Macaca mulatta: one gene and its partner. The protein of the gene in region 1 purifies or fractionates together with the protein of each later gene. This does not show direct contact. Links are inferred from orthologs where the notes say so. Each region holds a gene or a part of one and is shown in the gene's direction. Other genes may lie near its edges. The genes, in order: KLC2 and KIF5A.

Region 1 (4,344 bases):
ACCGCGCCTGGACCAGAACCTCTCTTTTTTTTTTTTTTTTTTTGAGACGGAGTCTTACGCTGTTGCCCAGGCTGGAGTGCAGTGGCGCGATCTCGGCTCACTGCAAGCTCCGCCTCCCGGGTTCCCGCCATTCTCCTGCCTCAGCCTCCTGAGTAGCTGGGACTACAGGCGCCCGCCACCGCGCCCGGCTAATTTTTTGTATTTTTAGTAGAGACGGGGTTTCACTGTGGTCTCGATCTCCTGACCTTGTGATCCGCCCGCCTCGGCCTCCCAAAGTGCTGGGATTACAGGCTTGAGCCACCGCGCCCGGCCCAGAACCTCTCTTAAAAAAAAATCATTGGCAGAGAACAGGTTTGAGAAGAACCTGGTTGGATGTAACTGAGATGTGTAAAATAGAGGGTCTTCACTTGTGTAAAAGGCAGCCTGGTTTGCGGCTTTTTTTGTGGACAGGTGGCATCCTGGGGGTACCGTCCCTCTGATCTGCGCAGTTCATTCCTCGTCTCTGATCACTGGGCCCTGGGCTGAGCACCACCTTCTGAGCAGGACCGACAAGCTAGACTACACCCAGAAAGGAGAAATTGGGATGGGGAAGGGTCAGGAAACTGCGGTAGGACTGAGCGAAAGGACCAGGAGCAGCCCGGGGAAGAGATGAGACCACGCGGGGCACCATCGCTGTCTCCAAATACCTTAACTGACATAAGGGAGCAGCTTTCTTTCTGAAGACAGAGCTAGGGCTGTGGATGAGCACTGCAGGAAGGCACTTCGAGGTCTATACAAGGAAAATTTTGCTAACCTTTGGAGTTGTCTCAGAGCCGAACGTAGTAAGCTCCCTGTCACCGGATGTGCTTGAGCTAAGGGCGCTGAACCACCTCTGTCAGAGATGGTGCGTCCCCCACCAGATGTGACCCCGGGATGCGAAGCCCGGGGTCAGATCTGAGAGCCAGGTAACAGCGGCATTCACTTCTCGGGTCTTCGTGAGCATTAAGTCAATGAACCCAGGGCACCAAGGCGCGCAACACGCAGTAGGCGCTCAATTAGTGGCAAATGCCTCGCTCTGTACTCCGGGAAGCCCAACCTTCTCCCTGCGCCTCAGTTTCTCCCGCCGTCCTCGATGGCGCCACACTAGGTACCTTAGGGTTCAATCTCCCGAGCAGCTCCACACCCTGAGGACCCGGGCCATTTTGAGGCCGAGGGCACCCCTCGGGGCTGGCGGGCCCCTGGAAACTGCGCCCCGGGCGGGTCCTCGCCCCGCCCCCGCCTCGATGGCCCCGCCCCGTCCCCCTCCCGCTGGAGCCGGCCCGGCCCGCGCTCCTTTAAGGCAGCGAGCTGGCCGTGAGAAGCGTGTTTCGCCCCCTCCGACGCCACCGAGGTAGCGGCTTCACCTTTAAGGCGGCGCGGGGGCTGCTGGGAAGGCCGGCGGGATGGAGGCGGCGGGACCGGCTCGCGGCTGCGGGTCCGGGTGAAGCGGGAGGCAGCCGGAGCCGGAGCCTGGCCCGAGCACCAGGCGCAGGTCGGCGCGGGCCGATTGGGCCGGGAGACGGGATCAGGCCCTAAAGCAGGGGGAGGCTCCAGGTCGGCCTAGGGGAGGGGGTCGTCGTGGGCGCGGCCTGTGGGAGGATCTGACCAGCCCTGGTAGGGGGCGCGGTCCCGGGTGGCCCAGGGCAGGGGCGCGGCCTTTTTAGGGGAGGCCGCAGGACGTTGCGCTGGCCCAGGGGAGGGGTCGTAGTGGGCACAACCTGGAAGGACTGAGGGCCGCGGTCTCAGCCCCTGTAGGGAGATGGCCTCCGCAGGGTCGGCCCGTCGGGAGGATGGGCTCCGCGGCGTGGCCTGCCGGTTGGGGATGGGGCTGTCCGAGGGGCTGGGCCCGGATCGCCGGAGGGACCAGGGTCTCCTGCACAGGAGAGAGCCCCCACGTTCCCCATACCTGTCCTGGTTAGGGGGTCCCCGGGGAAACCCAGACACTGGGCCGCCTAAGTCGGCCTAAGCCGGTGGTCTGGGGCCGAAGCAGGGTCCGGCCGCACCGCATTGCGTCTCCCTGGCCAAGACGAGCCGGGCGCGCCCTCTGTAGGCCAAGCGTGGGCAAGGTACGGGTTGCCGGCTGGGGGACCTGGGCACACGGGACCAGGCGTCCGGGGACCGCCTGTGTTTACCTAATCTGGGGCGGTGTGGCCCCAGGCCCGGCGCCCGCCTGCCCGCACCCTCGTCCTCACAGACGCCACAACCATGGCCATGATGGTGCTTCCGCGGGAGGAGAAGCTGAGCCAGGATGAGATCGTGCTGGGCACCAAGGCCGTCATCCAGGGACTGGAGACTCTGCGTGGGGAGCATCGTGCCCTGCTGGCTCCTCTGGTTGCGCCTGAGGCCAGCGAAGCCGAGCCTGGCTCGCAGGAGCGCTGCATCCTCTTGCGTCGCTCCCTGGAAGCCATTGAGCTTGGGCTGGGGGAGGCCCAGGTAGGTCAGTCTAGGGTACTGAGGTGGGCGGTCACTGGAGGGATCGAGCCTTCCAGAGAAATCCAGTAATCTAGGAGAAGAATATGAGCAAGGAATCTTCTGTTTCCTGGAGCCCCGTGTTAGGACCCCAGTAAATACCTTTTGAAGAAATAAATGCACTTTGGCGACCCCAGCCCTGCCCTAAGAGACCATGATCACCCTCGCCCCCACGCAGAGCCCCATTCCCAGCTCCCCTCTACCTAAGGGAGACTGGATGGCATATGAGAACAGAAAGAAAATCCTTAAGGAAACACAGCCTCCCACCGATTTATTCTTCTATTCATTCGTTAACAGATGAGTTTTTCAGTGCCAGCCAGGCCGTTAGGTGGATACAGGACCCAACAAAATAGACAGGATTCCTGCCCTATTTGGAAAAGAGACAAAAGCACACATACGGAAATAATTGGTTGTTACAAATTGTGATGAGTTCTACAAAGAAAAGAACAAGATTTTATGATAGCTCACAGCAGTGAGTCTTGTCTACTGGTCAGGCAGGATTTCTGTGAGGAAATGACAAACTGAAACCTGAGGGAAGAAATGAACCAGTCTCCAGGAAAGGGAGGCAGGGGAGAAGTTGCATGTGCAAAGGTCCTGGGGTAGGAGTTGTGGTGGAGGAACTCGGGGAAGAACTGTGTGACTGGAGCTTCATGGAAGGGAGAGAGGGACAGAAGAGGCCTGGGGAGAAGCCAAGAGCCAGATCATGGCCTCGTTAGTGTGGGTTTTATCCTCAGGAAGTCAGAAAGCCTCTGGAGGGCTTTAAGCAGACAGGCAACACAGTCTGACTTGAATTTCTAAAAACTCTCTCTGGCTGAGATGTGGAGAATAAATCTCAGTGGGTCGAGGATGCAATCACTCTCCAGTGAGTGGTTAGGAAGCCACTGCTGGAATTCAAATCAGAGCTGGTGCTTGGAATTAAGGGGTGGCTATGATGGTGGAGAAAAGGGACCAGTTCTGGATGTTCTGGAGGTAGGTCCAGGAAGACCCAGGGTGGAATAAGGGAGAGAGAGGAAGGCAGCATCACTCCCAGGTTTGTGATTTAAGCACATTAGGGAGGAGAGGGCCTGGGTGGATCAGAACTCTGTTTTGGCCCCCTTTAGTTGAGGCTGCCAGGATGATATGCAATTGGAGATGTCCAGGAGCCATTGGGATGTGCAAGGAGTTAGACTTGTTTTATTCTCCTCAGAGCTTGGCTGAACCCCTGCCTGGCACGTGAACCCTGGGGAGGTTGTATCATCTTGGTTTCCTTTTCTTTAAAATAGGGATCATGCCATCTGCTGTGTATACTTCCAGGCTGTTGGGGGAATTTTTTTTTTTAAGCTAGTGGTTATGGAAACACCTGTCACTTAGGCATTTGCTAACCAACTGTAAAGTACAGGGTCTCAGACGGCCTGGCCCTCTGCAAGGACATTCACTCCTCTGCCAGTTGGCCATCACAGGCAGAGAGGACCAGTCAGGGGTCCCACACCTGGTGGAGCACATGCACTCTCACAGAGGGGGAACAGTCTGCATGGAGGGCATGGGCATCAAGGCCATGAGTGAAGCTGGAGCAGAGTGGGAGGTGTGACTAGCTGGAGACACCACTGCAGAAATGACCCTGGACCGTGAAGGACCAGGAAAGGGTGGAGGCCAGGTGTGGTGGCTCACGCCTGTAATTCCAGCACTTTGGGAGGCCCAGGTAGGAAGATTGCTTAAATCCAGGAGTTCATGAGACCCCGTATCTATGAAAAAATTTTTTATTTTCATTTATTTATATTTGAGACAGAGTCTCACTGTGTTACCCAGGCTGGAGTATAGTGGTGCAGTGTCCGTTCACTGCAGCTTCCACCTCCCAGGTTCAAGCGATTCTTCTGCCTC
Region 2 (4,311 bases), on another chromosome or scaffold:
CTAGAGAGTTCCTGAATTCGGAACTCATTGTCTTTCTTTCTCCTGGCTCCTCCCCAAGCCTCTATCCCTTTCTCCATAGTCCTACCACTTTTCTGTCCCATTCATTATGTTGGACTCTTTTCTTTCAGTTCCCTTAAGATTCAAGGTGGGTTAGAGGTGTAGCCCCAATGTGGGAAGCCCCCTGAGTTCTGAGTAGTTAGGTCTTGTCTGGCCAGGCTATCAGCCTCTTGCTTTTGTCCCATAGTGTCTAAGTGACCTTAACCACTCATGAGACAATTGCTGAGCTGAATTTTCCTTTCCTTCTCCTTGTCCCATCCACCCTGCCCTTCCCCTTTGCCTAGAACCTCAACTCCTGCAGTCCAACTCTCTGTTGGCTAGCAGAGGCCTGTGACGTGGAGAAAAATCAATTTGGCCAGCTTCTTGGTGGTTCTTTCCAGGGGCTGCAGCAGGAGTCTGACCCAAAGGGAGAAAGGACAAGGAATCTCTGGGGTTTGGCATTTCTTTCGTTCTTCTTCCCCCACACCTTTTTTTTCTTTTTTTGGCCAGGGAAGGGGGCTGAAGTATTGGGACTGTATCCTCCAATGGTTACTGAGACGGGAAACACACACTCCCATAGGTACCTGAATTTGCCTGAAACCCAAATGCAGGTGTTTGCCTTAGACTTCAAAGTCTCTCTGGCCTTCCCCATCCCCATCATTGCCCCTCCTTCACTGCTTTCTGACTCCCTTTCTCTTGCAAAAATGTTTCCTACCCATCATCATCCCATCCTCAACCTAGGACACAAAAATAAGTATTGTGTCTGCTTTTGAATTCCCATAACCCAGAATGGGAGTTTATCTTCCCTGAAACTGGGGACCTGCTGTGTACGTTGGGGAGACAGTAGAGTGCACCTTTGGATGTGGAAGGGGAAGGGAGTAGCGAAAACCTCCCATGACACTCCTCCCTGACACCCACCTCCATAGGAGTACAGGCAGCGATCCCCCAGAAAGCTGAGTGGGTTGGGAGTCCAGCTTCCGTGCGTGTGGGGCATGGGATGGGCGTAGGGGGAGAATGAGAAGTGTGATCCCAGTTTGGAGAGAGGCTAGTGACGGGTTGGGGGATGCCCTGGAATAGAGGGAGTGGGAGATCTGTTTGACCCTTTTCGCTACACAGGCGACAGGCCCACCTCGGTCCCCTTATCCCTTCCAGGGGGTGGAGTCTGAGGGAGGGACAAACAGATCGAGGGTATAGGGGTGGGATGCAGTGAGTTGGGTGGGGAAGGGTAGAGGGCAAGGTTATCTCCGAACGTTAGGGATGGGGGAGGAAGCAGAGGAGCAGTGAGGTTCCAGCCTTCGGGGGTCGACGTCGAGCCAGCCTCCCCAGCTGAGGGAGCCCCGCCCCGGCTCCTCCATCGCGGCCCCGCCCAGGCCCGCAGCGCGGCGCTGCAGCGCGAGGGGCGGAGAGGCAGAGCGCCCGAGAGGACCAGACGCCCAGGTCTCCCGCATCCCGCTGCCGCAGGAGAGAGAGAGCGCGCCCCGGCCCTGCTCCCCAGGCTTCGCCCGGGCGCCCTCAACTCTGCCCCCAGAGACTGAGCACCTGTCCTCCGCCTCAGCCTTAGCTGAGAGCCCTCTTCTCTGGAGCACACACCACCCCTGCAGCCCAAGAAGTGTTCCAGCTCCACGCCGGCGACCACCATGGCGGAGACCAACAACGAATGTAGCATCAAGGTGCTCTGCCGATTCCGGCCGCTAAACCAGGCTGAGATTCTGCGGGGAGACAAGTTCATCCCCATTTTCCAAGGGGACGACAGCGTCGTTATTGGGGTGAGTGTCGCCCAGGAGGGAATTCGGGGAGGGGGCGGGTGGCTAAATCTCCCCGCCTCCCGCAGAACCTTAGTCTCTGCGGGTCCCTCTGCGCCCGCTCCCCGCCGCTCATCCTTCATCCTCTTCCCCGCAGCCCCTCCTCTCCCCTGCATCAGGATGGCTGGGTGTGGCCTGACCAGGCCAGCGGCTGAGTCTCTGCAGAGTGGCAGGGGGCTGCTTTCCTACCTTCGGGAGACTCATCTCCCCTTTGCTGCTGTCTGCAGCGTCTCCACCCGTTAGAACCAGTTCCATGTTTTTCTGATGTTTTCCCCTTCTCCACCCTCCCCCCCAACCAAGAGAAAGCGCATCTTCCCTTTGTTATTGGCTCAGATCTCTACCCCCACCTCCCAAGAAGGTAAGTGGGAAGACTTTTGGGTGGACTAGAGGGGAGGTAAGCAGCCCAGGGTCTCTGCAGAGTGTGGATGGAAGTGGGCTCTAAGACCAAACCTTCCATCATTCCCTAAAGTAGTTATAGCCTGGATTTTTGTGTGTGTGTTGGGGGGAACAGGTCTGATGCAGGGTTTACCGGGAAAGAAATCATTGATGCCACACCCAATCTTGGGGGGAGCCTCTAGAATCCTAAGGTCAGGTCTGCCTTTCGTTCCCAGTTACAGTAGGAAGAGGGTTTCAGATTCCCCAACTGACCCCCTGAAAGAAAAATGCCCAAACCCTGAGATCCTAGTAAGTACTTGCTTATTCATCCTTTCTCTTGAGGATCCAAGAGAAAGTAGCCGTCCAGCTCTACCTCATCATGACAGCCCTACCCAAGGAGGATATCTTAAGGGAACTAATATTTACAGTGGGCCTGTTACTCTATGTATATTATTTAACCCCCGACACAGCATTCGAAAGTAGTATCAATATTTCCATTTTACAGATGCAGAAATTGAGGCCCAAAGAACTTGAATAACTTTCTCAAGGTCATGCTATTAATCCATGGATCTGAACCTAAATCTGTGACTGCAAACCTCCCATCTCTTCCTATCACATTGCCTACCCAGGTTTCTGTTCTGCACCTTTATCTGTAATGGCCCAAAGGGAAATTCTAGGCCTTGCCCACTCCCCCCTGAGGTTGGTAGGGACCTCAGGCTGTGTGGGGAGAAAAGACCTGGGGTTGAGTCCTGTAGGACTTGAGGGGTGCTGGGCCAGGAAACGAAAACTAGCTTGAGAAGGGAGGGGCATGTACGAGGGCAGTCAAGGTCAGAGGTGCTTCTTAGGTATCTTTATCCACAGTGCTTGGCACAGAGCACCTGGAAACATGCTTGTTAAAGGAATGAAAGAAAGAAGGGGAGGAAGCCTGGGACTTCTGAGTCAGTGAGAATGGGACTTTGAATAAACATGCCTCGGGGGAGACCTGCTTACTAGTCTCCAAGGGCCCCAGTCTGTCACCACCTTGCACCCTTACCCACACTGTTAACTCAAATGGATGCTTTTGTCTCTCTCTCTCTCTCTCTTTCTCTCTCTCTCTCTCTCTTTCCCTGTCTCTCTCTGTGTGTGTGTGTGTGTGTGTGTGTGTATTTGTCACATGGAGAGGGCCTCTGTTTCTTTTTGCTTCAGGGACCTCTCTGGCCCTGCAGACTGTTCAGTCTGACTGGGCTAAAAACAAAACAAAACAAAACAACCACCAAACAACTCCTGGATCAACTCGGGAGGACCCCTCTCAGAGTGTCCTAGAGAGCCAGCATTAGTTGTGAGAGTTGGAGCTTAAGATCCCCTTGAGACATAAAGGCTGACAAACAGGGTGGGGGTGATGATGGGGGGCAAAACTTTTAGGCCCTATTTCCATGCTCTGGAAGGTTTTTCCAGTAAGTCTGAACCAACTCCTTTAGGCTCTCTGGGCCATCCTGGTGTAGTGGGATGGGGCAGGGGGTGATGTTGGGAAGAGGGGTGTGGTGTCGATCTATTGTTAGCCCAGCTAAACAGGAGAGACACACAGTGGGAGGTGGGCAAGGAGGAGAGATGAAAAGAAGCCCAAGGCCCCCTGCCAATTCAGATTCCATCTCAGCTCCACTGCTGGATCTTCCTTGTCTGTTTTGCCTGGTATCTGTAGGGCTGTATCTTTGTCTCGTTCGCTTGTATCTTCCCTCACCCTAGCCCTCCCTGTCAGTCTCTCATTTGAAGATAAATGCTTATGGGGGGCCATTTTGTCTCAGGCAACATCTTTAGAGTTTGCTTTTTCAGACTTAATATTCATTCATCATTTAGGGAATGAGGGCTACAGGGGGCATGATTTTTAGGAGACCCTTGAGGGTCCCAATAAGGGAAGGAAACTCCTACTCCTTTTTCTCTTTTCTCCTCTAGCTCTCTTTGGAGCCCACCGGGTTGGGAGCTGGCTTAGGAATTAATGGAGGAGGCTGCTTCAGGATGTCTGGGAAGGTTGGGGAAGAGTGAAGGTGGGAGAGATAATCTTTCCCAGTGCAGCCCCTACTCCTTCCTGTGACTGCTCTCCCCTTCGCCTCTGCAGCACTGC

The links.
Region 2: the proteins of KLC2 (region 1) and KIF5A purify together in Homo sapiens (affinity purification with western blotting; 3 studies listed by BioGRID and IntAct, with this or other methods). This does not show direct contact. The link is inferred for Macaca mulatta from reciprocal best matches to the Homo sapiens genes KLC2 and KIF5A.

The regions. Positions count from the first base shown.
Region 1 is NC_133419.1:8,156,214-8,160,557, reverse strand, and holds the start of KLC2 (kinesin light chain 2), read left to right. Parts: upstream 1-1,494; 5' UTR 1,495-1,510; exon of another isoform or gene 1,511-1,572; intron 1,573-1,937; exon of another isoform or gene 1,938-2,084; intron 2,085-2,175; 5' UTR 2,176-2,223; coding exon 2,224-2,451; exon of another isoform or gene 2,452-2,498; intron 2,499-2,732; exon of another isoform or gene 2,733-2,854; intron 2,855-4,207; exon of another isoform or gene 4,208-4,344. UniProt on the Homo sapiens protein: Kinesin is a microtubule-associated force-producing protein that plays a role in organelle transport. The light chain functions in coupling of cargo to the heavy chain or in the modulation of its ATPase activity.
Region 2 is NC_133416.1:64,717,016-64,721,326, forward strand, and holds the start of KIF5A (kinesin heavy chain), read left to right. Parts: upstream 1-1,445; 5' UTR 1,446-1,673; coding exon 1,674-1,802; intron 1,803-4,311. UniProt on the Homo sapiens protein: Microtubule-dependent motor required for slow axonal transport of neurofilament proteins (NFH, NFM and NFL). Can induce formation of neurite-like membrane protrusions in non-neuronal cells in a ZFYVE27-dependent manner.